4 linked regions of the Lonchura striata genome follow. The protein of the gene in region 4 purifies or fractionates together with the protein of the main gene of each other region. This does not show direct contact. Links are inferred from orthologs where the notes say so. Each region holds a gene or a part of one and is shown on either strand. Other genes may lie near its edges.

Region 1 (7,235 bases), on a different chromosome or scaffold from region 4:
AAAATATGGTATTTTTTGGCACAAATGTCATAGAGGTTTTTCTACAAATGCTTGCTGGGTTTCCCACCACCATTTTTCACTTAAAAATGAAGCAAAACCAACTAAATGTGTATTATACATACCGCCAAAAACTCAATTAAATACAAACCAATTTATTACTTATTTACCATTGAAGTCCATGCAACAAAGAGACCACAAGCAATTTCATAGTAAAAACCTGTCACCATCAAAACATTCCTGCTTCCAATAGTCAAGACAGACTCAGCTTCTGAGTTAGAACTGTGATTATAGAATAGTAACAAAATAAAAACAGCAAGTAAATGGAAATTAGTAGACATTATGATTTTCCTTGAGCTGTTACAATGTTTAAATATATACAAAACTGTACAACCGCAATAACAAAGACTGTTCCAAAATCAGTTATGCATGTAGTCTTGAACATTTTTCTTCCAATTACTTACAGAGTATCATAAAGAAACCATCACAAAATACAAAACAGCACCCTTATAGAGTGTTAAACCTACTTTAGTACTGCCATACAGATGCAATGAACCTCCTGTCAATGCGAAGGTATGCATGTACTCAACAGCCACAAAAGCCTCTGCACCAGCTCACTGAAATACACTATTTTTAAGAAATGGAGTTACATTGCTGTGTTTGCACCTTTTCTGGTATTACGTTTGCCAGTCTGATGGTGTGCATTCTTCCTGACCAATGCACAAAATTTTCTCCTCGAAGTGGCAACAGTGGTACAAGAGTTATCTTAATCACCCCAGTACACCTGCATATACTTTTTAAAATACAGAACCAAACTACAACTCAGTAAGATAATTTTGGTATTTTTCACCAGACACAAAGTTTGAAGACTTATCAATTTTCAGAAACGCAGATGATTTGTATGTCCCTTCAGAAGCTTGCCTTTCATATGTGGGACGGGATGTCTTTGAGGAGACTCATCCCTATCTGCCTGAAATCTCAAAAGAATTGAAGAGTTGCGGCATAGCACACAAATAACAATTCATCAGTCTACGGTATTTTTCCCTAAAGCTGTACTGTTTCTTTTTGTGGAAACATTACTAACAGAATATGTGGCACCATCTATGACAGATATTTGTCAGGATTTTACATTTCAGATTAGTTTACATTCTTTCAAATACTTTACCTTCAACAATTCCCTGCAGCTGTCAAGCCCAAGATCCACAAGAATGTCCTTTACCTTTTTTCGAGCCTTCCTTACATTATCAAGGTTTTGAACAGGAATTTGAAACATTTTGCACTTTTCCTGGGGAAAAAAAACAACATCACAACCAAAAAATAAAGAAGAAGAAAAAAAAGAGGAAAAATGAAAGAGAATGAAAAAAGGGACTAAATACTTGAACACAGGCAATTGCATTTAAGTGTATTAAAATAAGAACTAAAATCTGAAAAGTCATAGAACAGAAATATTTCCGTTAGAAAAGACCGCTAAGATCACTGAGTTCAAACATTAACCCACCTCAATCATTACCCATGCCTCTCATCACTACACCTATGTGTCTTCTAAATACCCCCAGGAATGGGGACTGAACTACCTCCCTTGCCAGCCCATTCCAGTGCTTGGCAACCCTTTTTCAGAAGAAGTTTTTCCTAATATCCAATTTAAACCTTCCCTGGTGCAACTTGCTCTTTTACTGTAACTTGCTATTTGGGGGAACAGACCCACCCCAACCTAGCTACACCCCCTTTCAGGCAGTTGTATAATGGTAAGATCTCCCCTTAACCTCCTTTTCTCCAAGCTAAACACCCCCAGCTGCCTCAGCCACTTCTCATTGGACTTGTGCTCCAGACCTCTCCCCAGCTTCACTGTCCTTCTCTGAACTCACTCCAGGTCCTCAATGTCTTTCCTGAGGGGCACAGAACTGGACACAGCACTTGAAGTAAGGCCTCACTGTGCCTAGTACAGGGTTGATCACTGCCCCAGTCCTGCTGGACATGCTCTTGCTGACATGGGCCAGGATGCCATTTATTAAGTATGAAAACCCAAAATCCTTAAGCCAAAGAAGTGGGCTCATTAGCATTTCCCAAGTAGAACCCCTGACTGATTTTAAAGGAAACAGAATCTAATGGGGAGGAGGGGCGGGCAGGAATTCTTTGTATTTCCTCTATCTACAGAAAATTCCAAATATTTCTTTCAAATCTCCTTGTATCTACGTGGCAGGAACACTGGTTTTGTAGGGTTTTTGCAAAAGAATATGAACACCAGAGTTTTATTAAGTTCTATTCAGAAAATTACTATAATATAAGAAATTCCACACCTTTCACCTTAAATCCTAGCATCAAGATGAGAAGTCTCTGATATTTTTCTTTGCTGTCAAGCATGTACATGCTTAAAATATGATTGCTAGTAAAATCTAGATTTCCTGCAGAAGCTTCTACTTTTGTAAACTTGTAAGGTATCTCCATAGGCTCAGCTTTAGAAGTTAAAGCTCAGCCTTTGTCAACTCCTTCCTATATTACAGCAAGATGCAATTTAGATTGAGCTTTAAGAAACTACAATGAACACAAAACCTAACCCTAAGCCTGCACTGAAAAAGGTCACTGGAAGCTTCTCCAGTATTTGATGCTTAAATAGCTGACAGAGTATCCAGGAACATTTATAACATCTTAGTCCTTACTGCTAAACAATTCACCCATCCAGGACACATTTGTACAGGAAAAAGAACAAATACTGAAACAGAGGAATTCTCCAAACAGTTCTTTAGCACATACAGTCTCAAATGTCTTGAAAAACTGTACTTTACCAAAAAAGCAAACTCCCTGCCAACATGAAAGCTCTACTTTGAATGATGACTTTCATGCAAATAGTTGCAAAATCCCCTTGCACATAAGACACCAGCTACAAGCTAAGCCTCAAAACCAAAATCCTCAAAACCCACAAACCATATAAAAAATATTCTGTTCTGTATGTAATCACCCCAAACCTTAATATATGTACAAAACATACAACTGATGGGTTTATGATTAAAATTCATACAACTCACATACTATTCTTTGCTTCTTCTCCCTTGAAAGGAAAGGTGTGGAGAGAGAAATGGAGAGGGAACCCCATTTGACAGATGCTAGTCTTGTTTTCTAATGTTTTTTATCATCAAGAAGTCCAGAAGACATTCTGATACCATCAGGGTAGATGTAGAACAGGAACCTATACAGAATGGAATAAATCAGAGTAAATGGTCTGACAATCTCTCAAAATACAATGAGCAAAAATCTGACATAAAATATTCTTTTTAAAGTGAAGTCCACCAGGAATTTGCAGAGTCCCTAGTTAAAGCTTTAAGATCAGTCCCTCTATGACAGCAAGTTATTCACATCAACCCCACAGTCCAGCGCAGTTTAACAACAGAGCTGTCTGGACACCACCATGCCCAGTGGTGATTAGCTGGAAGGAAATACATTAGGTTCCACTGGAAACAGCTTCCCCATCTCAGTCTTCCAACTCATACACCGATGCTACTAAAGAAGGTGAAGTGGGCATTTGTTGAGGCATGTCTAGCTCACAAATAAGAAACTGTCTATAGGGGTGTAGTATGCAACATTCATGTACCTCAAAGTTCTCTTAACCAGTAATCATTCTGAAATTATTAATGCAAAAGAAAAAATTAAATAAAATTATTAATTATCCTTAAATTATTAATCCAGGTGAAAGAAAAACACACCAAAACCTCCACCATAGCAGAAAAAAACTTGAATATAAATTATTTTCCAGTTTTCAAAGAGTTGGTCTTCAATCCAAAGGCCATCATGTGCAATCACATGCAATGTTATTCAGTAGGTATTTAAACAACCTTCTTGGGAGTAAGGATCTTAAAGGATCTTGCACCACAATCACAGAACAGTATGGGTTAGAATGGATCTTAAAGATCATCTAATTTCAGACTTACTCCCATGGGCAGGGACATCTCCCACTAAACCAGGTTGCTCAAAGTCCCATCCAACCTGGCCTTGAATATTTCCAGGGATGGGGCATCCACAACTGCTCTAGAAAACCTTTGCCAGTGCCTCACCAACTTCAAAGTTAAGAATTTCTTCCTAATATCCAACCTAAATCTACCCTCTTGGAGTCTCTCTATCCATTAGACCAGCACTGCCCCACCATAAAGGTCACCAAATATCAACCTCCTAAACTTACTCCCTCAAGTCCTCAGTTTAATTCCTTGACTGTTATGCAGTTTATTATCCACATTTTCATACTAATATTTTTTTTTCTTATATTTTGGACATTCCTTAAGCTTTAGTTTGCACTTTGGTTCCATGCATTTGTTGCATGGAACAATGCACAACAATTTGTTCCACATTCCATTCTTAATCAGCAAATTCAACAAAGGACTAGAGTTTAATTGAACAAGGGTTACCAAGAGTCTCGATCATTTTACTGCATTGCCTGTCTAAAAGTAAAAAACTTATTCTTCACTGCTTTTAATTGTTGTTTCCAAAAACCTGATAAACCACTAAGTTTTCAGACTAGTGCCACTTCATAAACAGAACCAAGGCAAGTTTTTAGCAAAATAAAATAATTTTAGCAGCTGATGTCTCAAATTCAGTTCTAAGACAGCCATCCAACTCTTGCTTAGGCATTTTAGCCGTCAAGGTATTTCTACACATGTTGCTTGTTCAGATAACATCTCCATAATGATATACCCAGTGGAGCTTTATTCCAGGTTCATTTCATTTCTACATTTGTTATCACCAATTGTAACACCCAACTAATTACATTTGACTTTTCAAAGATCACAAATGCAACTCTTCCCTTCCAGCAGTACTGCAGTATTTTAAGACTAGTCTAAAAGACAAGGTAACGGTCTGCACAGTATTTTGGTAGTCAAAGACATCAGTTTTCAAATTAACTACCTTTTACTATCATTTCTCTACATTACAAAAAAAAAAAAAAAAAAAAGGAAAAACACTAACACTGCACCTCTTCAAAGTGAGAAGTTACCACAAAATGCCAAGTTCCTATTCATTCTACTTCTCAGAACCATTCTCATTTCACCTTGGAAGGAACCTCAAGAGGACACCCAGTCCAGCTTCCTATAAGCAGGCTCAACCATTGCAGCCAGGGCACTGTTTTGGCCAGTCAGGTTTGGCAACCTCCCTGGGCAACCTCCTCCAGTGACAGACTGTGTTCATATTGAGAGCTTTATTCCTTACATGAAATCTGCACCACTCTTGTTTGTGTTCCTACAGGAAGTAGGTATTTGCAAGTGTCCAAATTGAAGACCAAGATGTTTCCTATTATAATCCGAGTAGGAGTTGCCACACACCTCATGACTCAGAATAACATCAGCCCATTGTGAGATGCTCCACCCAGGGGGAGGAGCTAGGCATTCCCACCTGGATAAATCCAGGGATTTCTAGACAGAGAGGCAGCCTTTCCACAGGTTTCCAAGAAGACACAGCAACCACATCTGCCATTCCAAGAGGACTGCAGCCACTCCAATTTGGACTGCTACCAGCACGCTGGCCAGAGGGGTGTCAGGTTGTATTCTGGCTTTGTCAGTTGTCTTCCTTTTGTAACATTGTGTGTATTTTTGTCTTTTTCCCTTTTCCCAATAAATTGTATTTCTGACTTGGAGTCTCTCACTGGTTTTGCTTGCAAACCAGAACAGCAAGCAAATGAAAACAAAGTTGGTATGGAGCTGGCAAAAGGAAGATGCACATACGTGCCTTCAAACGGGCATGCAAATACTTCCAGTAAAATCCAGTCAACTAGATAATCAGGCATTTCTCGAGTTTTCAGAAAAAGAGGAATGTTAGAAGATCTACAGAGAAAACAGCTGCATTTTAGACACCAGATAATCCCTGGTGCAAATCTCCATATGTGTTCCTAATTGGATGGCCTTTGCCTGTTGCTCAAATAACTGCTTTGATCAGGGAAATTATGAAAGACTTATGGAACTTTGTCACTTCATAGTACCCGCCTTGGAAATGGAATAATTTTTAAGTTTTTGTAACTTTTATATAGTAACTGAGAAAGCTTTTTATAAAGACTTAGGTCTTTTTAAAAGGTTTGCACCTTTTATAGAACCTCTATAAAAACATGTTCGGAACATTTGGGTTGGAGTATTTTGGAAGGCTTGTTTACCAACTTGTATTTCAGCAGTTGTCAGAACTGACAAGAACCAATAAAAAGTTATGTGCTGCAGCCAGAATATTGTTAATAAGATCCAGGGTAAGGATGCAAAAAGGGCCTTTGCATGGTATCCACAGATTTATTCAGCCACATGGTGAGATGTTCAGGGTCCAAGGCACACTCATGAGGGGAATCCTGGTTTCTCCCTGTCCCCCGAGGTCCGGGCTGAACTGTGCCCTCGGGCAGTACAAGGATGATTGGCAAATAGGGGAATAGTGAGGGAGTGGCTGAGGGACATAGTAACAGGGGAAGGAGCTAATGAGGTCCCAAAAGCCCCTGAGGGAAGCCTCCTGTGTCTCCCCAACCCAGGGAATGCCTCCCAGGGTGCCCACAAATTATTTTCATTATAGTAAACTCATCAGAAGCTGACAATTCAGTATTAGTTCAGAAAACAATAAAAACTGCTTCATTCCTAAAAGTGGAATGAAAGCATGTGATTTATTTTCAAGAATCCAAGGAACAAGAACACTGGATGGTAAAGAACGGCTAGGAGGACAGGCTCACTAAGAAACTGCCTAGAAGAATCAGAGTTTGGCCATGCCAAATTTTACCCTCATCAATTTTGTTCTGTTTCTGATAAGCTTACATGTCCTCTAAGAAGTCACATCTGGGTATCTGCTCAACCATGCATAACATTTCCTGGACTCTTACCTCTGCCTTCTGAAAGCCACCTAACCGGATTTACAAGTACATCAGCACCATCAAAGCTTATCCAACCTATGGAGGGAGAGGGAAGAAAGCTTCCTAAAGAAAAATTCGATTGATTAGAATGGATGCTATTCTTCTTCATTGTTTAATCTGCTGTAATTTAAAATATATTCTAATAAAACTTACAAAGAGCAGTTCTGGTCAACAAAGCAGTTTATCTTCTTATATTCAAATTTCTATCCAAGGGCAACTTAATAGAAATCTCAGGTAAGAAAAAAAATTAACTCTTTTTTGTCCAGCTATATAAGAAACTTCAGGGCATTTCAGATCATAGATCTTTTAAGAGTCACAATAATTCTGCTCTTTTAATGGCTATAAATCACATACCTATTAAAAAGGTCATCTTGTCCAACACAAA
Region 2 (6,876 bases), on a different chromosome or scaffold from region 4:
GAGCAATAGGAGTGTCCCAAGCTAATGCACAGAGAGGAGAGACCTCCTGATGTCCTCCCAGCCAACACATCCAGCCATGTCAGAGATGGTCCCTGGATTCTGCACCCATCTTCCACAAGGATCCCAGTTAAGATTAAGCCATACTTCCTACAGCCTCTCAAAAACGTCCCAGTGGAAGAGAAGCAGAAAAATGCAGAGGAGATACCTATACATAAGAAGGAATCCATGCAAGTGTTGGTACAACATGACTCTGGCAGCAAACAAGGATGTCTATACATTTTAACTCCATTCCAATTTCACAGCTACAAATCTTCCAATCACTCCTGGTAATTTTTAATAAACACATTCTACACTTAGAATTGCAACAGTTAATATATACTAGTTTTTTATATACTGCATTTTTCCTTTACTGAAGATAAGCTGTGACTGTCCAAGGGAAGCAACAAAGGGCTCAAAGCTAAAGATCTAGACTCTCAGTGAGCACAGAGAATTAGACTGCTTTCTACATTACATGAAGAAATTCAGAGCACAGCAACAAGTAGTCTGCTACATCATTGTGTCTTGGTTCTCAGGGGCAGAAGAATATATAACTCTTTCCTCTCAGAAGAATATATAACCCTTTCCTCTCAATGAAGCCTGGTGAAACAGAAGCAGAGAGAGAACATGCAACATGCTTTAATGACACCAACACAGCTGGGAAAATGACCCAGAAGAAAGCCCTGTGATTTTCTGCAATGTGCTACAACCACACATAAGATTCCCTATACCAGTCACTGCGCAGGAAGGATCACTGTTGGCTTTCATCAGCCTTGGAAGTTTCTTGCAGACTAACAGCTCAGTCACAACCTCTGTCAGTGAGGAGGGTCAACAGCAAATTTGTTCTCAGAAAAAGAAAGCTGAGGTAAGTGAGATACAGCATCATCATTGCCTCTGATAGCAGGAACAGATCCAGACTTTTGCTGGGTTTAAGCAAAAGGAAAAATTACATGTTCTTGCAGTGCCAAAAAGTAAATGGCAGTTTGGTGGCAGCATGACACTTCTCTTGAAGCTACATCCCTGTATTGTGACTGACAAAGAGAAGTTTAGCTCCCAGAGGAAGCTGCACACAAACACCCCACCGTGGGGCAGAGCAGGCACTTCACAGTGCACTAGGCAGGTACGGGCATCACTTCCAAGGCACCATGAACAAGACAGGCAGCCCTGTGCTCTTGCTAGTCCAGAAGCATCCACAGTATCTGACTACAACCTCACATCTGAACTCCCAGCTATCAGCCAATCTACTCAGGCTAAGCTCCACCAGCAACAATTGCTGAACAAGGTCTTTAAAATTACACATCTACACAAGGCACAAACACTCTGACCCAACCAGCCACTGAAACAGCAAGGAATGCTAAGAACGTGAGAGCCACAAGTTCCAGGAAGGAAATGCTGCATTATGAAGTTCCATGTTTCCAGGAAAGGTTCAAGTCAGGAGAGATCTACAAAGTGACAATACTTGATACACATACAGATGACTTAAGAAAAACAAACCACCTAGAACTGCAACAATTTTGCAATATTTCAATCTTTGTGAAGAGAATGACAAGTCTACACAACATTAGCTCTTGATAGAAGATCTATCAACAGTCAAAATTGCAGAGTAAAATCAGTATACCTTCGACAGATTCAAGACAGAAGAAATTAATTCCATGTACTGCTTCTACAGCTTTCTAATTCCAAATTCACAATTCCACTTCCAGTTGGCTTCCAAAAATGCCCCCAAAAACATTACTGTCGCAGTGCTGTACCTGAGCTAATGAAGTGCCACTAGACCCACTAGAGCATAACAATCTAGTCAAGATCTGAATTAGGGTCGTGAAACTTAGTAACATGCTAAGAATTCCATTAACACTACCCTGAAAGAATATGGAGTTCAAGGGAAGATTACAGAAGAGAAATGTGAAATCCAAAGTTTCTATATTCCTCACTTGCAAAAAATTCATAGAATCGTTTAGGTTGGAAAAGACCTCTGAGATCATCAAGCTCCAACCTATGACTGAACACCACCTTGTCAAGTAGACCATGGCACTCAGTGCCACATCCAGTCTTTCCTTAAAAAGCTTCAGGGACAGTGACTCCAACACCACTCTGGACAGTCCATTCCAATGTCTAATCACTTTCGCAGTGAAGAAATTCTTCCTAATGTCCAGTCTAAACCTCCGTTGGTGCAATTTAAGATTATGTCCTCTCGTCCTGTCACTTGTTGCCTGGGAGGAGAGGCCGACCCTCACCTGGCTACACGCTCCTTTCTCGCGGTTGCAGAGCGCTAAGGTCCCTCCTGAGCCTCCTGCTCTCCAGGCGGGACAAGCCCAGCTCCCTGAGCCGCTCCTCACAGGACCTGTCTCCAGAAGTGCCGTGAGCCTTGGCTCTGCACCTGCTCCTCTGCTCCCACGTGCGACGCAGCCGCTCCCGGCAGCTATTTCTGTCACCGGGGAAGGGCCCGGTCCCGGCGGGGACACGTCCCGTGCCGAACTCGCTATCCCGGCACAGCGGACCGGCGGCGTGCTCCTCCTGCTCCTCGCTCCGCCGGCATCACTCTAACTTTCCTGCGGGAAGGGGGTGCCTGAGGGCTCGGCTTTCCCGGCTCCCCGCTGCCCGGCCCTCCCGGGGCCGCACCCCCGGGGCCGGGGCCACGCCGCCCGCCCGTTCATGCCGCCGCGGCGGGCGCTCTCCCTCGCCGCCTCCGCTCTCCCTCTTCGCTCCCGTGCGCGGCCCCACCGGTTTTGTTCCCCCCGCGCCGGCACCGCCAGCCGCCGCCGCCCCCCGCGCGGCGGGGGCTGGACAAGGGGAAGGCCCAGGCCCGACGCCCAGGGGGAGGGAGGGGAGCGCGGCGGGCCCGGGCGGCGGGAGCGGGGCCGAGCGGGACGCGGCGGCGGCACTCACCGTTCGGCACTCCGGGACGGCGGGCGCGGGCCGGGGGGGCCGGGCCGGGCTCCCCCCGCCAATGGCGGCGGCGGCGGCGGCGGGAGGCGGGGCCGGGTCACGTGCCGCGGCGGCGGCGGCGGGGCCGGGGGCGGGGCCGCGCTCCGCGCCCGCCGGCAGGGGGCGCTGCGCACGGGGCCCGGCCGCGTCCGGGAGCCCGCGGGGCTCGTCCGGCGCGGGGAGAGTTCCAGAGCCGCAGAAACACCGAGTCACAAAGCCACAAAAAGGCTGCAAAACACCTCCGAGGTCCTCCACTTGATCAAGCACCACCGTGTCAACGGGGCCATGGCCCTCGGGGCCGTGTCCAGTTTTCCTTAAACGCCTCCAGGGACGGTGACTCCACCACCTTGCTGGGCAGCCCATTCCAAAAACCAGCCACCCTCTGAGTACAGAAATTCTTCCTAAAATCCAGCCCAAAAATCCCTTGATGCCGTTTAAGGCTGTGTTCTCTCATCCTGTCGCTGGTGGCCTGTGAGAAGAGCCTGACCCCAGCCTGCGGCAGCTCCTTTCAGGTGTTGCAGTGGTGGCAAGGTCTCCCTGAGCCTCCTCTTCCCCAGGCTGAGCAGCCCCAGCTCCCTCAGCCGCTCCCTGCAGGACACCTCCATCGCTCTTCCCCGGATCTGCCATTAGCATCCTTCCCCAAATGTGTGCAGGGCTCTAGGTGTGGGCTCTGCACAGCCAAATAGGCCACACCTCAGGAACTGTGTGTCCAGTTCTAGACACCTCAATTCAGGAATTGCTTTTTGTCTTTTGGGTTTAGCTGTGCATTTTGTCTGTAATGAAAGAATGAAAGAGTTACAGAATCACAGAACCAATTAAGTTGGACCTCTGAAATCAACTCCAACCTGTGAATGAGCACCCGCATGTCAACCTGTCCATTTTTTCCTTAAACATCTCCAGGGACAGTTACTCCCCGGAGGTGTTTAAGGAAACACTCTCTGGAGGCTGAGGGGCATTTTGTTAAGACAGAAGCTGAGGATAACCCAGGTTCTTGTTACTAGATCCCTTGGGGGACGTTAGTGTGAAACAATACTGAATGATCAGTAGTTGTAAATAAACAATGTAGGTTTTATTATAGAACAACTTGGCTGCAAAGGAAAACAGGTATGGAGCTGTTTGGGTGGTTATTATCTATAGTAATACAACATGAAAGCATTGCAATGTGAAAGTGCAACATCACCCAAGGACACATACAAGGGGAAAGAAAGAAAGGACAAAGGAAAGAAGAAAAAGGAAAGGAAAGAAGGAAAGAGGAAAGGAAAGGAAAGGAAAGGAAAGGAAAGGAAAGGAAAGGAAAGGAAAGGAAAGGAAAGGAAAGGAAAGGAAAGGAAAGGAAAGGAAAGGAAAGGAAAGGAAAGGAAAGGAAAGGAAAGGAAAGGAAAGGAAAGGAAAGGAAAGGAAAGGAAAGGAAAGGAAAGGAAAGGAAAGGAAAGGAAAGGAAAGGAAAGGAAAGGAAAGGAAAGGAAAGGAAAGGAAAGGAAAGGAAAGGAAAGGAAAGGAAAGGAAAGGAAAGGAAAGGAAAGGAAAGGAAAGGAAAGGAAAGGAAAGGAAAGGAAAGGAAAGGAAAGGAAAGGAAAGGAAAGGAAAGGAAAGGAAAGGAAAGGAAAGGAAAGGAAAGGAAAGGAAAGGTGAGGATCTCACCACCCTAAGCCTCACAGTAAGACTTGATTACTGTCCAGCGATTGTGGTCAAAGTGGTGGTCAGGTGATGGACGAAGTCCCGAAGAAGTGGTGGGGATGAATCTGCGGAACACATAATCTCTTGGGTTTATATTCACTCTGGTTCAAGTAAATATAAATCAGGTGCCTTCTCAGGACCAGGGAGCTTCATGTAATACTGTAGATCATGGTGCAGTTGAATCAGTTTGCCCCATTATGTCCCATCAGCAGAGATGAACCTGCTCTGGTCACACTTGAGTTCCCTGGCATTTCCAGGGGGAGGAGGGCAAGCCCCACAGCCCAGTGGTTTGTGCAAGGAAGCACAGCTTGGCACGACAAGGGGCACAATTCTCTCCACTGGATCCAGCGCTTATCTCACTCTCAGCCCATCATTCACCCTGTGCCTTATCAGATCAGAGGTTTAGCCATTACACAACTAAAAGTTCACCTACTCCCTGTCAACCAAGCACCCTGGCATCTCCACAAATGAAGAATGTTTTGAGTCATTGTCTCTTAATAGTTCCGTCTCTCACACATCCTCATTGCTCTCTACATCTTCTAGAGGAGAGAAGCAGAGGGAAAGATGCTAAGCTTTTCTCCTTGGTACCCACTGAGAGGATAGGTAGGGATGGCTCAGAGCTCCTTCAGGCAAGGTTCGGGCTGTAGGTTTGGGCTGTAGGTTCGGCAGCATTTCCTTACCAAGAGGGCGGCTCTGTGACAGGCAGCATTCAGCAGTGATCTGTTACATCCCCCGGCTGCTTGGATAGAAGCAGGATTTTTCACCAGTCATATCTAAGTTTCCAACAAAATCAATCCTGCCCATGCTCTGAAAATGTAGTGGAAGTGTAGTGATTAACTACAATTACTGATTGATGAGGAATTTATTTATTTTTTCCACATCTAGATGCCATGGAGAAATCTAGCACTGCAGGCTAGATACCCTCCAGGTGTTCTGTGTAGTCACGTCCCAGGCTCATATCTCTTTAACTACAGGTTATACATTTATCATTGGGGATTGTGGTTTTCCATGACTAACAAAACCCAACTGGTCGACTCTATCCAAATCTGCAGCTAAGAATATTATTGCTACTTATCCCCTTGTACTTGCATTTTATCTGCTTTTTATTACTCAAAATGCTGACTCCTGCTTTGTTCATTCATGGAAATAGCTGTAAAGTCAACCCAAGGCCAACTAATAACCTGTAATTTTCACTTGATCCTGAACTTGTCATCTCTTTCTGATTTGCCAGTGCTTTCATTCATCTTACAGTTTTAAAATTAATTTCCAGCTACTGTAGTTAATTATTTCCATTGAGAATGGAATCAAACACTTAATTAAATTTCAGATAAACCTGGTGTACCCCATTTATTAGGTTTCTTCTTAGACAGACTAAGTAAACTTCTTCCATGCTATTGTTACCTGTAAGTGATTTGGAGTACTTGGAGGATTTCCTTTCAACCTAGTGAAGAAGTTCTCTCAAAGGAGGTTATGAAATCCCACAGAGATTTTTTTTTTTCTGGATTATCAATTACAGAGCATAGGTAAAGAACACATCTCAACTAACTGCAGTGAATAACTTTTTTTAAATAGACTTTTTTTTTTACTGTATGGTTATACTTTCTTTTTTTAACTTGTTTAGAACTTTTTTTCCTTTACATCTAGGGATTAAATTTGATTTATGAAATCATGCTAAAGTTTCATAAGTCTCCCCCCTTTCGGTTATATTATTGTGAAAAACACTTGAATATCATTTGCAGTTCTAGATTTTTTTTTTTTAATAAGCAACATGCAAAAATTTACCATATCCACTGGTGAAATCTCTCAGTAAAAATGCCAGCAGGCTTTTGAAGGCATGGAGTTTAATCATCCAAGACAGCTATTTTTTCATTCAATTCCTTCCCGTAGGCTTCTAAATTACTTTCTGAAATGGCCTTTTGCTTATTATGCATTAGTAACTGTAACAAATACAGCAATGAATGTTACCTAACAGTGTAGCTAGGGAGATCACAATTCATTGGAGATACATCTAAATACCCCTGGTTATATTTTTACCTTATGTAACATATTCACAAATGTTTTCCTCCTTGTTATTTGATCCCTGATTTAGGAACTTTAAAGTTCCCAATATATAAGCAACTTTAATCTTTGTATTTCAGGATGTTTTTAAATGTTAAGGAAACAAGACTGAGCCTTTTCAGCCCTGAAAATGTTTCCATTTCTCCTTTGATATCCTGATTTTCTTGACTGAATGCCTGA
Region 3 (7,142 bases), on a different chromosome or scaffold from region 4:
TCTTTCTTCTTCTCCAAGTACAACATGGCGCGCGCCGGCAGACCGCGGCGGCCCGGCCGCACCGGCCCGCCCGGCGCCCGGGCCAGGTCGGCGTGCAGCTGCTGCAGCAGCCCGCGGCAGCGCAGGTTGCGGCGCGGCTCCCAGGTGTTGGCCGACGAGGGGTAACCACGCCACTTGACCAGGTAGAAATCCTCGTTCTGCGTGGGTGGGGGGATAAAGGCGGGGTTAAAGGGGGGTTTGGGGTAGGGGGTGGGCAGTGGGGACCCCCAGGTGTGGGGACTCAAAAGGTCTGGGGGGTTCCTGGAGTGACCGCAAGGTCTGGAGACGCTGGGGGGTCTCATGAGGTCGGGAGGGACGCGGGAATCTGGAGGACTCTGAGGGTCTCACGAGGTCTGGGGGTTCCTGGGGTGACCCCACTGTGGGGGTCCTTTGGGGGTCTAAGAGGGTTCAGGGGGTCCTGGAGTGACCCCAATGTCCAGAGACCCTGTGGGGCTTTTTTGGGGCTGGGGCTTCTTGGAGTGACACCAATGCCCAGGGACCCTGTGGGGCTCTTTTGGGCTGGGGGTTCCTGGAGTGACCCCAGGGACCCTTTGGGGCTTTTTTGGGTCTGGGGGTTCCTGGAGTGACCCCAATGCCCAGAGACCCTGTGGGGCTTTTTTGGGGCTGGGGGTTCCTGGAGTGACCCCAATGTCCAGGGACCCTGTGGGGCTTTTTTGGGGCTGGGGGTTCCTGGAGTGACCCCAGGGACCCTGTGGAGCTTTTTTGGGTCTGGGGGTTCTTGGAGTGACCCCAATGCCCAGGGACCCTGTGGGGCTTTTTTGGGTCTGGGGGTTCCTGGAGTGACCCCAATGCCCAGGGACCCTGTGGGGCTTTTTTGGGTCTGGGGGTTCCTGGAGTGACCCCAGGGACCCTGTGGAGCTTTTTTGGGTCTGGGGGTTCCTGGAGTGACCCCAATGTCCAGAGACCCTGTGGGGCCGAACTGGGTCAGAGATTCTTGGGGTGTCGAAGCCTGGGGACCTTAAAGGAGACCCCGACGTCCCTGTGGGGGCTCACGAGGCCAGGGGGGTTTTGGGGTCACCAGGGGGTCCCCGTTTGCCCCCAGGGGGTCTGGCAGTGCCCAGTGTGGGGGTCCTGGGCCAATTCTGGGTTTGGGGGTCCCAGTTTGGGGGCCTGGCTGGATTCCTGGTCTTTGTGGGGTGGAATCCCGGTTTGGGGGTCCCGTGTAGGGGTCCCCGCTCTGTTCCCAGTGTCTGTGGGGGTCCCGGTTCGGGGGTCCCGGGTCAGCTCCCAGTTTGGGGTGCTGATTTGGGGGTCCCGGGTCAGCTCCCAGTTTGGGGGTCCCGGTTCGGGGGTCCCGGGTCAGCTCCCAGTTTGGGGTGCCGGTTCGGGGGTCCCGGGTCAGCTCCCAGTTTGGGGGTGCTGGTTCGGGGGTCCCGGGTCAGCTCCCAGTTTGGGGGTGCTGGTTCGGGGGTCCCGGGTCAGCTCCCAGTTTGGGGGTCCCAGTGTCTGTAGGGATCCCGATTTGGGGGTCCCGGTTCGGGGCTCCCGGGTCGGTTCCCCGTCCGGAGGTCCCGGTTCGGGGGTCCCGTCCGGGGGTCCCGGGTTGGTTCCCCGCTCGGGGTCCCGGGTCGGTTCCCCGCTCGGGGTCCCGGTTCGGGGGTCCCGTCCGGGGGTCCCGGGTCGGTTCCCAGCTCGGGGGTCCCGTCCAGGGATCCCGGGTCGGTTCCCAGCTCGGGGTCCCGGTTCGGGGGTCCCGTCCGGGGGTCCCGGGTCGGTTCCCAGCTCGGGGGTCCCGTCCGGGGCTCCCGGGTCGGTTCCCCGTTCGGGGTCCCGGTTCGGGGGTCCCGGGTCGGTTCCCCGTTCGGGGTCCCGGTTCGGGGGTCCCGGGTCGGTTCCCAGCTCGGGGGTCCCGTGTCGGTTCCCAGCTCGGGGGTCCCGTCCGGGGGTCCCGCGCCCCTCACCCGCACTCGCCGGTAGTCGCAGATCGTCTCCACCTCGAACTCGGCGAGGTTGCGGCGGGTGACCCCCAGGGCGCGGCACCGCACGCGCTGCAGCCGGCACAGCTCCTGCAGCCGCGGCCAGGGCGACAGGCAGCACACGGAGCACTCTGCGGGCGGCACCGGGGCGACAGCGTCAGGGGACGGGCGGCACCATCGAGCCGAGCCGAGCCGAGCCAGCCGAGCCGAGCCGAGCCGAGCCGAGCCGAGCCGAGCCGAGCCGAGCCGAGCCGAGCCTCTCCCGCCCGTTCCCGCCACTTCCCCCCGCTTCCCTCAGGCGCCAACGGCCGCGCGCGGGCAGCGCCGCCGGCCCCTCAGAGCGCCCCCGGCCCGGTTCTCCCCCTCCCGCAGCCCCGGAGACCCCCCGGGCCCGCCCCGCTCTCGCCACCTTTTAAATTTTCCGCCATTTTCAGCCGCCGCCGCTTTTTTTTTTGTCGTTTTCCGCCTTTTTTTTTTTTTTTTTTTTTTCTTTCTGGCGCCGCTTCCGCCCGGCGGGCAGCGCGGGGGGCGGGGCTTCCTCTGCCCGCGCCCAGCGCCCATTGGCTGGCCCGGCTGCTGATTTGCATAGTGACAGCAGCCCGCGCGCCTTCCATTGGCTGATGCGGTGATTAATTTCCATACCGACACCGTCGCGCCCCTTCTCTATTGGCCACCGCGCCGCTTTATTTGCATAATATCTGATCCCGCCATTGGCCGCCGCGTCGATTGATTTGCATAGCGCTCCCAGCAGCACCCGCGACTGTTCGTTTACATACTGGTGCGAAGGGACCGGTTTCCATTGGCCGCGGCGCTGCCTCATTTACATATCGCTCCCAGCAGCGCCCGCGCACGGCGCCGATCCCGAATTCCGCCGTTTTTCCCCCATTTTCCGCGCGGTTTTCCCGGCTCGGAGCCGCTGGAAGCGCCGGGATCCCCTCGGGGCCCCTCCCCGAGCCGCTGGATTCCCGCTCCCTCTCCTCGCTGCCGGGGCTCATTAAACGGTAATTAATGAGCGATTCATTAACGAGGCGCATGGTCACGTGACTCCTGCGTTTATTTGGGGGGGGGGGGGGGGGCACGAGGGGGGGAAAAAAGGGGAGGGGGGGCAGGAAAAGCCGGGGCCCCTCCCCCCCCGAGCTGGGGGAGGGGCGCAGGCGGGGTGGGGGAGGGGTGGGGGGGGCCCCAATTTGGGTCTGGGGGCGTCTCGAGGGAGGGGGAGGGGCAGGGGGGGTCTCACTCGTCCCATTCATCATCATCCTCCTCCTCCTCGCTGGCTGTGCCTTCATCTGGGGGGGCGACAATGGAGAGGGGTCGGGGGGTTTTTTTGGGGGGATTTTGGGGGTTTTGGGGTTGTTTTGTTTTAATTTGGGGAGGGGTCTCACCCGAGGAATGGATGACGCGGCTTCGCTTCTGCATCACGTCCATCAGGGCCCCCACGAGCCCCCCCGCGCCGGGACCCGCGCCCACCTCGGGGGTCTCAGGGGTCTGGGGGGGGGGGTGGGAAATGGGGAGGGGTCAGGCAGGGTCCTCCCCCACCAGCCCCTCCCCCACGGCCACGTCAAAAGGTCAGGGGAGCCCCCCAAGAAATCACGAGACCACCCACCCAAAAAAAAGGGGCATGGAACAGCCCCTCCCCCATCCCATGGAGACCCCCAAAGGTCACAGGACCCCCCCCTTGGACACCCCCCCCCAATTTTTGGGGTCTCCTCCCATTCTTGGGGTCCCACTCCCATTTTTGGCTCCACCCCACCCGTTTTTGGGGTCCCCATCCCAATTTTTGGTGTCCCCCTCCCTATTTTTTGGTGTCCCCCTTCCATTTTTGGGGTCTCCATCCCCATTTTTGAGCTCCCCCTCCCCATTTTCGGTCTCCCCCTCCCCATTTTTGGTGCCCCCTCCCCATTTTTGGTGCCCCCTCCCCATTTTCGGTCTCCCCCTCCCCATTTTTTGGTGCCCCCTCCCCATTTTTGGTGCCCCCTCCCCATTTTCGGTGTCCCCCTCCCCATTTTTGGTGCCCCCTCCCCAATTTCGGTCTCCCCCTCCCCATTTTTTGGTGCCCCCTCCCCATTTTTGGTGCCCCCTCCCCATTTTCGGTCTCCCCCTCCCCGTTTTTGGTGCCCCCTCCCCATTTTCGGTCTCCCCCCCCCATTTTCAGTCTCCCCCTCCCCATTTTCGGTGTCCCCCTCCCCATTTTTGGTGCCCCCTCCCCATTTTCGGTGTCCCCCTCCCCAGTTTTGGTGCCCCCTCCCCATTTTTGGTGCCCCCTCCCCATTTTCGGTCTCCCCCTCCCCGTTTTTGGGGTCCCCGACCTTGTTGAGCGTCACCCCCTGGCGGATCTGGTCCAGCAGCGCCCCCCGGCCGGGGGGGGTCGCGGGGGGGACCCCGGAGGGGGGAGGGGGCGGCGGAGGGGGGGAGGGGGCGGGGCGGCGGCGCCCGGGGGGGCGGGGCCTCGCGGGGGAGGGGCGGGGCCTCGCGGAGGGGGAGGGGCGGGGGGAGGGGCGGGGCCGGCGCGGGGTGGGGGAGGGGCCGGGACCGCCGAGCGGGAGCGGGAGGAGGGGGGGGAGGGGCGGGGGGAGGGGCGGGGCTCCCGCGGCCCGGGGGGGGAGGGGGCGGTCCTGGGGGAGGAGAGAGAGGAGGGGGAGGGGTCAGAGGGGGCACGGGGGGGCACAGAGACCCGCCGGGTGCCCCCAGGTGTGCCCAGGTGTGCCCAGGTCCCTCCCAGGTGTGCCCGGCCCCACCCCCAGGTGTGTCCCAGGTACCCCCAGGTGTGCCCAGGTGTGCCCAGGTATCCCCAGGTGTGCCCAGGTATCCCCAGGTGCCCCCCAGTTGTGCCCAGGTGTGCCCAGGTACCCCCAGGTGTGCCCAGGTGTGCCCAGGTACCCCCAGGTGTGCCCAGGTACCCCCAGGTGTGTCCCAGGTACCCCCAGGTATCCCCAGGTGCCCCCCAGTTGTACCCAGGTGTGCCCAGGTCCCTCCCAGGTGTGCCCAGGTGTGCCTAGTCCCACCCCCAGGTGTGTCCCAGGTACCCCCAGGTGTGCCCAGGTGTCTCTAGGTTTCCCAGGTCCCTCCCAGGTGCCCCCAGGTGTGCCCAGGAACCCCCAGGTGTGCCCAGGTCCCTCCCAGGTGCCCCCAGGTGTGCCCAGGAACCCCCAGGTGTGCCCAGGTCCCTCCCAGGTGCTCCCAGGTGTGCCCAGGTGCTCCCAGCTGTCCCCAGGAGCCCCCAGGTCCCTCCCAGGTGTGCCCAGGTGCCCCCCAGGTGTCTCTAGGTTTCTCCCAGCTGTCCCCAGGTCCCTCCCAGGTGTGCCCAGGTGTGCCCAGATGTGCCCAGGTCCCTCCCAGGTGTGCCCAGGTGTGCCCAGATGTGCCCAGGTCCCTCCCAGGTGTGCCCAGGTGCTCCCAGCTGTCCCCAGGTCCCTCCCAGGTGTGCCCAGGTGTGCCCAGGTCCCTCCCAGGTGTGCCCAGCTGTGCCCAGGTGCTCCCAGCTGTCCCCAGGTCCCTCCCAGGTGTGCCCAGGTCCCTCCCAGGTGTGCCCAGGTGTGCCCAGGTGTGCCCAGGTGCCCCAGGCGCCCCGTGCCCACCCTGGCGCCGCATCTCCTCGCGCACGGCCTGCAGCCCGCCCCGGCGCTCGATGAAGTCGTGGATCAGGCGCGAGGTCTCGGCGTCGGCCAAGTGGCGCTCGCTGACCCCGGCCTGGGCGAAGAGGGACCGCAGGGCGGGGTCCATGGCGGCCAGCTGGGGACAGGGACACGGTGAGGGGACAGGGACACCCCGCGGGGTCAGTGTCACCCTACACAGGGTCAGTGTCACCCCTCGGGTCACTCTCACCCCTCAGGGTCACTGACAGCCCACACAGGGTCAGTGTCACCCCACGGGGTCAGTGTCACCCCACGGGGTCAGTGTCACCCCACGGGGTCAGTGTCACCCCACAGGGTCAGTGTCACCCCATGGAACAAGAGGGACCGCAGGGCGGGGTCCAGGGCGGCCAGCTGGGGACAGGGACACGGTGAGGGGACAGGGACACCCCGCGGGGTCAGAGTCACACCCCGCGGGGTCAGTGTCACACCCCGCGGGGTCAGTGTCACACCCCGCGGGGTCACTGTCACACCCCACGGGGTCAGTGTCACACCCCTTGGGTCACTGTCACCCTACACAGGGTCAGTGTCACCCCGCGGGGTCAGTGTCACACCCCGCGGGGTCAGTGTCACCCCGCGGGGTCAGTGTCACACCCCACAGGGTCAGTGTCATCCCTCGGGTCACTGTCACCCTGCACGGGATCGTTGTCACCCCTCAGGGTCACTGTCACCCCACAGGGTCAGTGTCACCCCACACAGGGTGAGTGTCACCCCACACAGGGTCAGTGTCACCCCTCGGGTCACTGTCACCAGGGTCAGTGTCACCCCTCGGGTCACTGTCACCCTGCACGGGATCGCTGTCACCCCTCGGGTCCCTGTCACCCCTCAGGGTCACTGTCACCAGGGTCAGTGTCACCCCACAGGGTCAGTGTCACCCCACACAGGGTCACTGTCACCCCTCGGGTCACTGTCACCCCCAGGGTCACTGTCACCCCTTGGGTTACTGTCACCCCTCAGGTCACTGTCACCCCACACGGGATCGCTGTCACCCCTCAGGGTCACTGTCACCCTGCACGGGATCGCTGTCACCCCTCGGGTCACTGTCACCCCTCACAGGGTCGCTGTCACCCCAGGGTCACCCCATGGGGACCCCGGGCCAGGCCCAGGGATGCCACCTGGGCAGGGACATCTGTCACCCCCCGTGGGGTCACCCCGGGGTCACTGTCACCCACTTGGGGGAGGTGTCACCCACATCGAAGCCACCAGTGGGGTCCCACCCGATGTGACCGACGTGCCTGGAGGGGGAGGGGAGAGCGGTGAGACCCCCGCGACCCCCCGGAACCCCCCAGACCCCAAAATCCCCCTGGAGACCCCCCAAAACCTCCCAAGAGATGGCCCCAAACCGACCCCCACACCCCCCAAACCGACCCCCACATCCCCCAAATCGACCCCCACACCCCCCAAACCGACCCCCACATCCCCCAAACCGACCCCCACACCCCCCAAACCGACCCCCACATCCCCCAAACCGACCCCCACATCCCCCAAACCGACCCCCACACCCCCCAAACCGACCCCCACATCCCCCAAACCGACC
Region 4 (6,988 bases):
GGATTTATCCCTATTCTTTTCCCTATTCTTTCCAGCTTTTTTCACAGCAAATTCCAGAGTTATCCCTCCAGAATCCCTATTTTTATCCCGGGATCCCTCAGTTTTATGGGAACACATCCCTGGCATCCCCCCCATCCGCATTCCTCAGAGAATTCCCTTTTTCTCGCCTCCAAAATCCCCTTTTCTCCCCCCAAAAACTTCCCCACAGGACCACAGGGAAGATTCCCGGGATAACCCCGGCTCCAAAGCCAGTTTTTCCTGGGAAAAGCTTTCCCAGCTCTTTCTCCAGACCCCCAAATCCCTCTGGGACTCACAAAACGTTTTTCCAGCACCCAAAATTCCCAGAGCTTTGTCTCGCCCAGCTCCCAAAATCCCAGCAAAGTTCCCCCAAAACAGCTCCTCCTCCATTCCTGACCCCAGCCCCGCCCCAAATTCCCGAATTTCCCTCCCAAGCCCGGATTCCCGGGATTTTTCCTGCTTCCCGCCAAAAGTTGTCGCTTGTCCCTCCCCATCCCGCGCCCTGCCCGATTCCCGCTTTTCCTTCCCCTCATCCCAAGGGGGTTTGAAAGCCCCGTCCCCAAAATCCCTTTTTCCCCTCACAATTCCCCTTTTTCCTCTCACAAATCCAACTCTTCCCTTCACAAATCCCACTTTTTCCTCTTACAAATCTAACTTTTCCCCTCACAAATCCCACTTTTTCCTTTCACAAATCTAATTTTCCCTCATAAATCCCACTTTTCCTCCTCATAAATCCCACTTTTCCCTCACAATTCCCAGGTTTTCCCCTCACAATTCCCACTTTTGACCCTCACAAATCCTACTTTCCCCCTCACAATTCCCTTTTTTTCCCGCTCACAAATCCCACTTTTTCTCCTCATAAATCCCACTTTTCCCTCACAATTCCTGGGTTTTCCCCTCACAAATACCACTTCCTTCCCTCACAATTCCCTTTTCCTCCACAAATCCGTTTTCCCCTCATAAATTGCAGGTTTTTTCCCTCACAAATCCCAGTTTTTCTCTCACAAACCCCTTTTCCTCCACAAATCCCAATTTTTTGCCCTCAAAATCCCATTTTTTTCTCCTCACAAATCCCCCTCTTCTCTGTCCCCTCAAATCCCACTTTTCCCCCCACTAAAATCCCTCTTTCTTCCCTCCCCCCAAGTCCCATTTTTCCCCTCACAAAATCCCTTTTTCTTGCCCCCAAAATCCCGTTTTCCCCCCTCACAAATTACCCTTTTTTCCCAAAAAAACCCCCAACCAACCAAAAAAAAAAAAAAAAAAAAAAAAAAACCAAAAAAAAAACCACAACATTTTCACCCCACAACTTCCCATTTTCCCAACGTCTCTCTCTCCATGGGATCTGCCTCACCCCAAAACTCTTGAACCCCAAAACTCCTGAACCCCAAAACTCCCCTTTCCCCCGTGCAGCTCTTTTTGGGGTCACAGCCCCACCGGCATCCCAACATTTCACACATCCCATCCCACTGATCCCCCTTTCCCACCACCCCAAATCCACCCCTGCACTGACCCCATCCCAAAACCCATCACTGACCCCGCCCTGCACCCCAAAATCCATCCCTACACTGACCCCAGCCCCAAATCCTCTCTCCATCCTCCCAAATCCATCCCTACTCTGACCCCAGCCCCAAATCCCCTCCTTATCATCCCAAATCCCCTCCTCAAATCCACCTCTACACTGAACCTATCCCAAATCCTCTCCTTATCACCCCAAAATCCGTCCCTACACTGACCCCATCACCCCAAAATCCATCCCTTTACTGACCCCATCACTCCAGAATCCCTCTCTACACTGACCCCAGCCCCAAATCCATTCCTACAGTGACCCCATCCCAAATCCTCTCATTACCCTAAATCCCCTCCCTCAAACCCATCCCTACACTGACCCCATCCCAAATCCCCTTCTAAGCACCCCCAAATCCATCCCTACACTGACCCCAGCCCCAAATCCCCTCTCCATCCTCCCAAATCCATCCCTACACTGACCCCATCCCAAATCCCCTTCTAAGCACCCCAAAATCCATCCCTACACTGACCCCAGCCCCAAATCCCCTCTCCATCCTCCCAAATCCATCCCTACACTGACCCCAGCCCCAAATCCCCTCTCCATCCTCCCAAACCCATCCCTACACTGACCCCATCCCAAATCCCCTTCTAAGCACTCCAAAATCCATCCCTACACTGACCCCAGCCCCAAATCCCCTCTCCATCCTCCCAAATCCATCCCTACACTGACCCCATCCCAAATCCCCTTCTAAGCACTCCAAAATCCATCCCTACACTGACCCCAGCCCCAAATCCCCTCTCCATCCTGCGAAATCCATCCCTACACTGACCCCAGCCCCAAATCCTGTCTCCAACATCCCAAATCCATCCCTACATTGACCCCAGCCCCAAATCCTCTCTCCATCCTCCCAAATCCATCCCTACACTGACCCCAGCCCCAAATCCCCTCTCTATCCTCCCAAATCCCCTCCTCAAATCCCTCTCTACACTGACCCTATCCCAAATCCCCTCATCACCCCAAAATCCGTCCCTACACTGACCCCAGCCCCAAATCCTCCCCTCAGCACCCACAAATCGATCCCTACACTGACCCCAGCCCCAAATCCTCCCCTCAGCACCCCCAAATCGATCCCTACACTGACACCATGCCCAAATCCCCTCACGGACCCCATCCCCATCCTCATCAGCCCCCAATCCGTCCCTACACTGACCCCAGCCCCAAACCCCCCCTCATCACCCCAAACCCCCTCACTGACCCCATCCCCGCCCCCCAGCCCCCCCACACCCCCTCCCCTCCCCCCACGGCCGCCCCGCCCCCCCTCACCCCCCTGCCCCCCCTCACCCCCACCCCCCCGCCGCCCCCCGCCGGCGCTCGGAGCCGGCTCCGCGCTGACCTCGCACAGCCCCGCCGCCGGTGTCCGAGGGAAGGGGCGCGGGGGGCGCGCTCGGGGGTCGGGGGGGGGCCCGGGCCTGGCCGCGCTCCGTCCGCCGCCCTGAACAAAAGAGCCCGGCCAGCGCCGCTGCCCGCCGCGCGCACCGCGCCTGCGCCGCGCCCGCGCGGGGCGCGCCGGGACGTGTAGTCCGCGCCGCCGCCGAGCCGCAGTGCGTTCCGCCGGGCGGCGCGGGGCCTGATGGGAGGTGTAGTCCGCGCCGCCGCCGAGCCGCAGTGCGTTCCGCCGGGCGGCGCGGGGCGTGATGGGAGGTGTAGTCCGCGGAGCGCGGCGGCGCTGCGTGCGCGCGAGGCGGGGTGGGAGGTGTAGTCCGGGATGGTCAGGCCTCTCCGTTCTGCGCGTTGTTAATTAAACAGAGTAATTAACGGTGGGAAAGCCTTCAAGCTCCAGCCGTGACCCAAAAGCGCCTTGTCCCACAGATCAGGGCCCCGAGCGCCACGTCCAGTCGGCTGTGCCCAGCCTGTGCCAGCGCCCAGGGAAGGGTCCCGTTTATGGGTTCCATAAATAATCTTATTTAGGGAATCTTGGAATCGCTCAGGCTGGAAAAGCCCTCTAAGATCTCCAAGTCCAACCCTAGGATCTAAGATCGCCAAATCCAACCCTTCCCCCAGCACTGCCATGACACCCCTGACCCGTGTCTCTTAAGTGCCACCTCCTCGTGTTTTTGGGGATGGGGACTCCAGCACCGCCCCGGGCAGCTGTGCCAGCGTTGTGTTCCCATTTCCGGGGAAAAATTCCTGCTGATGCCCAACCTCAGGCCGCACCCTTTCCTCAGGAAGCAGAGCCTGACCCCCACGGCTGCCCCGCCTATCAGGGAGTCGTGAAGAGCCAGAAGGTCCCTCCTGCTCCCTCTTTTCTCCAGGATAAACATTCCCAGCCCCTCCATGTCCCCTCCTCATCCAAGGGCCGGGGCGGGGGGCGGCACCTGGGACAACACCGGCGTTCGGACTACACCTCCCAGCATGCCCCGCACCGGAACTTCCGCCACCTCCGCGCTATAAAAGCGCGCGCCGCCGGCGGCGCCGCTCAAACGGTCCGCGGGCGGTGCGAGGTGAGGGGCGCCTGAGGGGAGGGCGCAGGTCCGGAGATCTCGGGGATCCCCGGTCCCCTCGGTGCATCCCGGCGGGTCCCGGCGGATCCCGGCTCCCCTCGGGGTCTCCCGGCGTCCCCAAACCCCCGGGAGGATTTGCGGGGCCGGGCCGGGCCTCAGCCCCGCTCCGCGGCCTCTCCCGGCGCGGGGCTCGGGCCCAGCTCCGATCCCTGTGCCGAGAATTCCCAAAAAACAGCCCCGGGAATTCCCCCCGCGGCGTGGGGAAGGAAGGAATGGGGTTCATTCCCGGTTTTCCCTGGATTTTTGGGACTCTCCCGAGCCTCTCCCGGCCCTGGGCTGGGGCCGCGGTTCCCGGGAATTTTCTCCTTCCCTGGAAAGGCGAAACAGCCTCGGGAATTCTCCCAGCCGGCGTGGGAAGGGAATAATTGGGATTCGTTCCCGTTTTTCCGGCTTTTCCCGAGGTTTTGGGACCCGTCGTGGTGCGGGACATCCCCGGGAGGGAGAATGAGGAATCCTTTCCTTCCCTGGGAGGAAAAAGATCCTGAAAAATAATTATTGGGAAAAAAAAAAAAATAATAACCACTTCCAATGTTTTACCGTGTCCAAGGAAAATAGGGATTGAATGGTGTTTATGAACAGCCTCAGGAATTCACCCTCCACAGGGAAAATCGGGAATAACTGGGATTCATTCCTGTTTTTCTGGCTCTGGAGGGTTTTCCGTGGGTGGGAGTGAGGATTCCTGCTGTTCCAGAGTGTTAGGAAAGGTTTTCGGAGGTGGACCAGGATAAAAGGAGCCTGAGATAACAATTAATGCTTTCCCTGGCAGCAATTTCCCTGGAAATGAGGAATTTCTCTGGAATTCTCTCCTTGATCCCCAATCCCAGGCAGGTGAGAGGCAGCAGAGCCTTGGAAAACCCCGAATTTGAGGGAAATAACCCCAGACTGGGAATCCTAGAGCACCTTAAAGTGAAGCTTTTCCCAAATTCCAGAGATTTCCAGTCTTCCCAAAAACTACAGTGTCCCAGAATTGTGGGGGATGCAGAATCCGTGGAAAACCCACTGAAAGGATTTCTCTGAATCTCTTTTTTGTCTTTATTCCCAGATGTTTCCCGCTGGGCTCTGGCTCTAGGATGTTGGAGAACCGAGAGGAAGTGAGGAGCATTCCTGGTTTATTCCCAAATCCTGGAATTGGGGCGAGTGGAATCCTTGGGAATTCCATCTCCGTGGATAATTCCTGGGAGTCTGTGGGGCTGGGCCCAGGACCAGATGGGAGTGGCAATGAATGGGAATGGCTGGAAAAGTGGGACTGGAAATGGCTGGAAATGCAGGGATGGGAAATGGGAATGCCTGGAAATGCGGGAATGGGGAATGGGAAATGGGAATGTCTGGAAAAGTGGGAATGGGAATGTCTGGAGCCCCTCAGACCCATTCCCAGGAAGCTGGAGAGGCAGGAATGGGGTGGATCCCTGAGCTCCTGATCCCATTCCAGGACAGCGGGAATGGGGTGGATCCCTGATCCCATTCCAGGGAAGCAGGGCTGGTGGATCCCTGATCCCGTTCCAGGGAAGCAGGGCTGGTGGATCCCTGATCCCATTCCTGGGAAGCAGGGCTGGTGGATCCCTGATCCCATTCCTGGGAAGCAGGGCTGGTGGATCCCTGATCCCGTTCCAGGGAAGCAGGGCTGGTGGATCCCTGATCCCGTTCCAGGGAAGCAGGGCTGGTGGATCCCTGATCCCGTTCCAGGGAAGCAGGGCTGGTGGATCCCTGATCCCGTTCCAGGGAAGCAGGGCTGGTGGATCCCTGATCCCATTCCTGGGAAGCAGGGCTGGTGGATCCCTGATCCCATCCCGGTTTCCGCAGGAGCTGACCACGGTGCGGGTGCAGGATCCGCGTGTGCAGAACGAGGGCTCCTGGAATTCCTACGTGGATTACAAGATCTTCCTGCACGTGAGCTGGGAGCGGGATCAGCCCTGGGAATGTCCCGAGCCACGGAGGGGAATCCTCGGGATCCTGTCCTGGGCTGGCTCCCGGATCCGGCAGGGATGGAGATCCAGCCCCTCGATCCCAGGGATAATTCCCATGGAGAATTCCCATGCTGGATTCTCTGTCCAGGCCAGATCCAGCCCCCTGATCCCAGGGATAATTCCCATGGAGAATTTCCAGCCTGGATCCTCTGTCCAGGCCAGATCCAGCCCCTCAATCCCAGAGATAATTCCCATGGAGAATTCCCAGCCTGGATCCTCTGTCCAGGCAGATCCAACCCCTTGATCCCAGGGATGATTCCAACCCTGGATCCCTCAGCCCTCAATTCCCAGTGATTCCCTCCAGGGAATCCCTCCCAGGGTCATTCCCAGGGATCCCTCCCAGGTTTCCCTCCCAGGATCATTCCCAGGAATAATTCCCAGGGATCTCTCCCAGGGATTTCTCCCAGTGATCCCTCCCCAGATCCCTCCCAGTGTCATTCCTAGGGATCTCTTCCAGAATTTCTCCCAGTGATCCTTTCCAGGGTCATTCCCAGGGATTTCTCCCAGTAACCCCTCCCCTGATCCCTCCTTGGATCAATCCCAGTTATCCCTCCCAGGGTTATTCCCAGGAATCATACCCAGGGATCTCTCCCAGTGTCATGCCCAGGGATTTCTCCCAGTGATCCGTGCCCGGGTTCCTTCCCCATGATCCCTCCCATGGTCATTCCCAGCGATCCCTCCCGGATCCCGCCGGGATCCCTCCGGGGCCGCTGCCATTCCGGTGTTTTTCCCAGACCAACAGCAAGGCCTTCACCGCCAAGACGTCGTGCGTGCGGCGCCGCTACCGCGAGTTCGTGTGGCTGCGGCGGCAGCTCCAGCGCAACGCCGGCTCCGTGTAAGGGCTGCGGGATTCCGCCCCAAATCCGGGATCTGGGATCGCCCGGGGCCAAAATCCCACAGATTTCCCAGGCTCCGTGTAAGGGCTGCGGGATTCCGCC

Evidence for each region.
Region 1: the proteins of CBX1 (region 4) and ADNP2 purify together in Homo sapiens (affinity purification with mass spectrometry; 5 studies listed by BioGRID and IntAct, with this or other methods). This does not show direct contact. The link is inferred for Lonchura striata from reciprocal best matches to the Homo sapiens genes CBX1 and ADNP2.
Region 2: the proteins of CBX1 (region 4) and CHAMP1 purify together in Homo sapiens (affinity purification with mass spectrometry; 6 studies listed by BioGRID and IntAct, with this or other methods). This does not show direct contact. The link is inferred for Lonchura striata from reciprocal best matches to the Homo sapiens genes CBX1 and CHAMP1.
Region 3: the proteins of CBX1 (region 4) and SUV39H1 purify together in Homo sapiens (affinity purification with mass spectrometry; 3 studies listed by BioGRID and IntAct, with this or other methods). This does not show direct contact. The link is inferred for Lonchura striata from reciprocal best matches to the Homo sapiens genes CBX1 and SUV39H1.

The regions. Positions count from the first base shown.
Region 1 is NC_134603.1:84,601,178-84,608,412, forward strand, and holds the start of ADNP2 (activity-dependent neuroprotector homeobox protein 2), read right to left. Parts: upstream 3,011-7,235; 5' UTR 1,394-3,010; coding exon 1,163-1,393; intron 1-1,162. UniProt on the Homo sapiens protein: May be involved in transcriptional regulation. May play a role in neuronal function; perhaps involved in protection of brain tissues from oxidative stress. May be involved in erythroid differentiation.
Region 2 is NC_134604.1:90,839,327-90,846,202, forward strand, and holds the start of CHAMP1 (chromosome alignment-maintaining phosphoprotein 1), read right to left. Parts: upstream 3,010-6,876; 5' UTR 2,923-3,009; intron 1-2,922. UniProt on the Homo sapiens protein: Required for proper alignment of chromosomes at metaphase and their accurate segregation during mitosis. Involved in the maintenance of spindle microtubules attachment to the kinetochore during sister chromatid biorientation.
Region 3 is NC_134638.1:1,546,652-1,553,793, forward strand, and holds the start of SUV39H1 (histone-lysine N-methyltransferase SUV39H1), read right to left. Parts: upstream 3,011-7,142; coding exon 2,801-3,010; intron 2,737-2,800; coding exon 2,619-2,736; intron 2,108-2,618; coding exon 1,962-2,107; intron 198-1,961; coding exon 1-197. Other genes in the region: actin nucleation-promoting factor WAS, read right to left, coding at 3,210-3,262, 3,359-3,461, 4,518-4,620, 5,536-5,705, 6,798-6,840. UniProt on the Homo sapiens protein: Histone methyltransferase that specifically trimethylates 'Lys-9' of histone H3 using monomethylated H3 'Lys-9' as substrate. Also weakly methylates histone H1 (in vitro).
Region 4 is NC_134627.1:8,317,202-8,324,189, reverse strand, and holds the start of CBX1 (chromobox protein homolog 1), read right to left. Parts: upstream 3,020-6,988; 5' UTR 2,919-3,019; intron 1-2,918. UniProt on the Homo sapiens protein: Component of heterochromatin. Recognizes and binds histone H3 tails methylated at 'Lys-9', leading to epigenetic repression. Interaction with lamin B receptor (LBR) can contribute to the association of the heterochromatin with the inner nuclear membrane.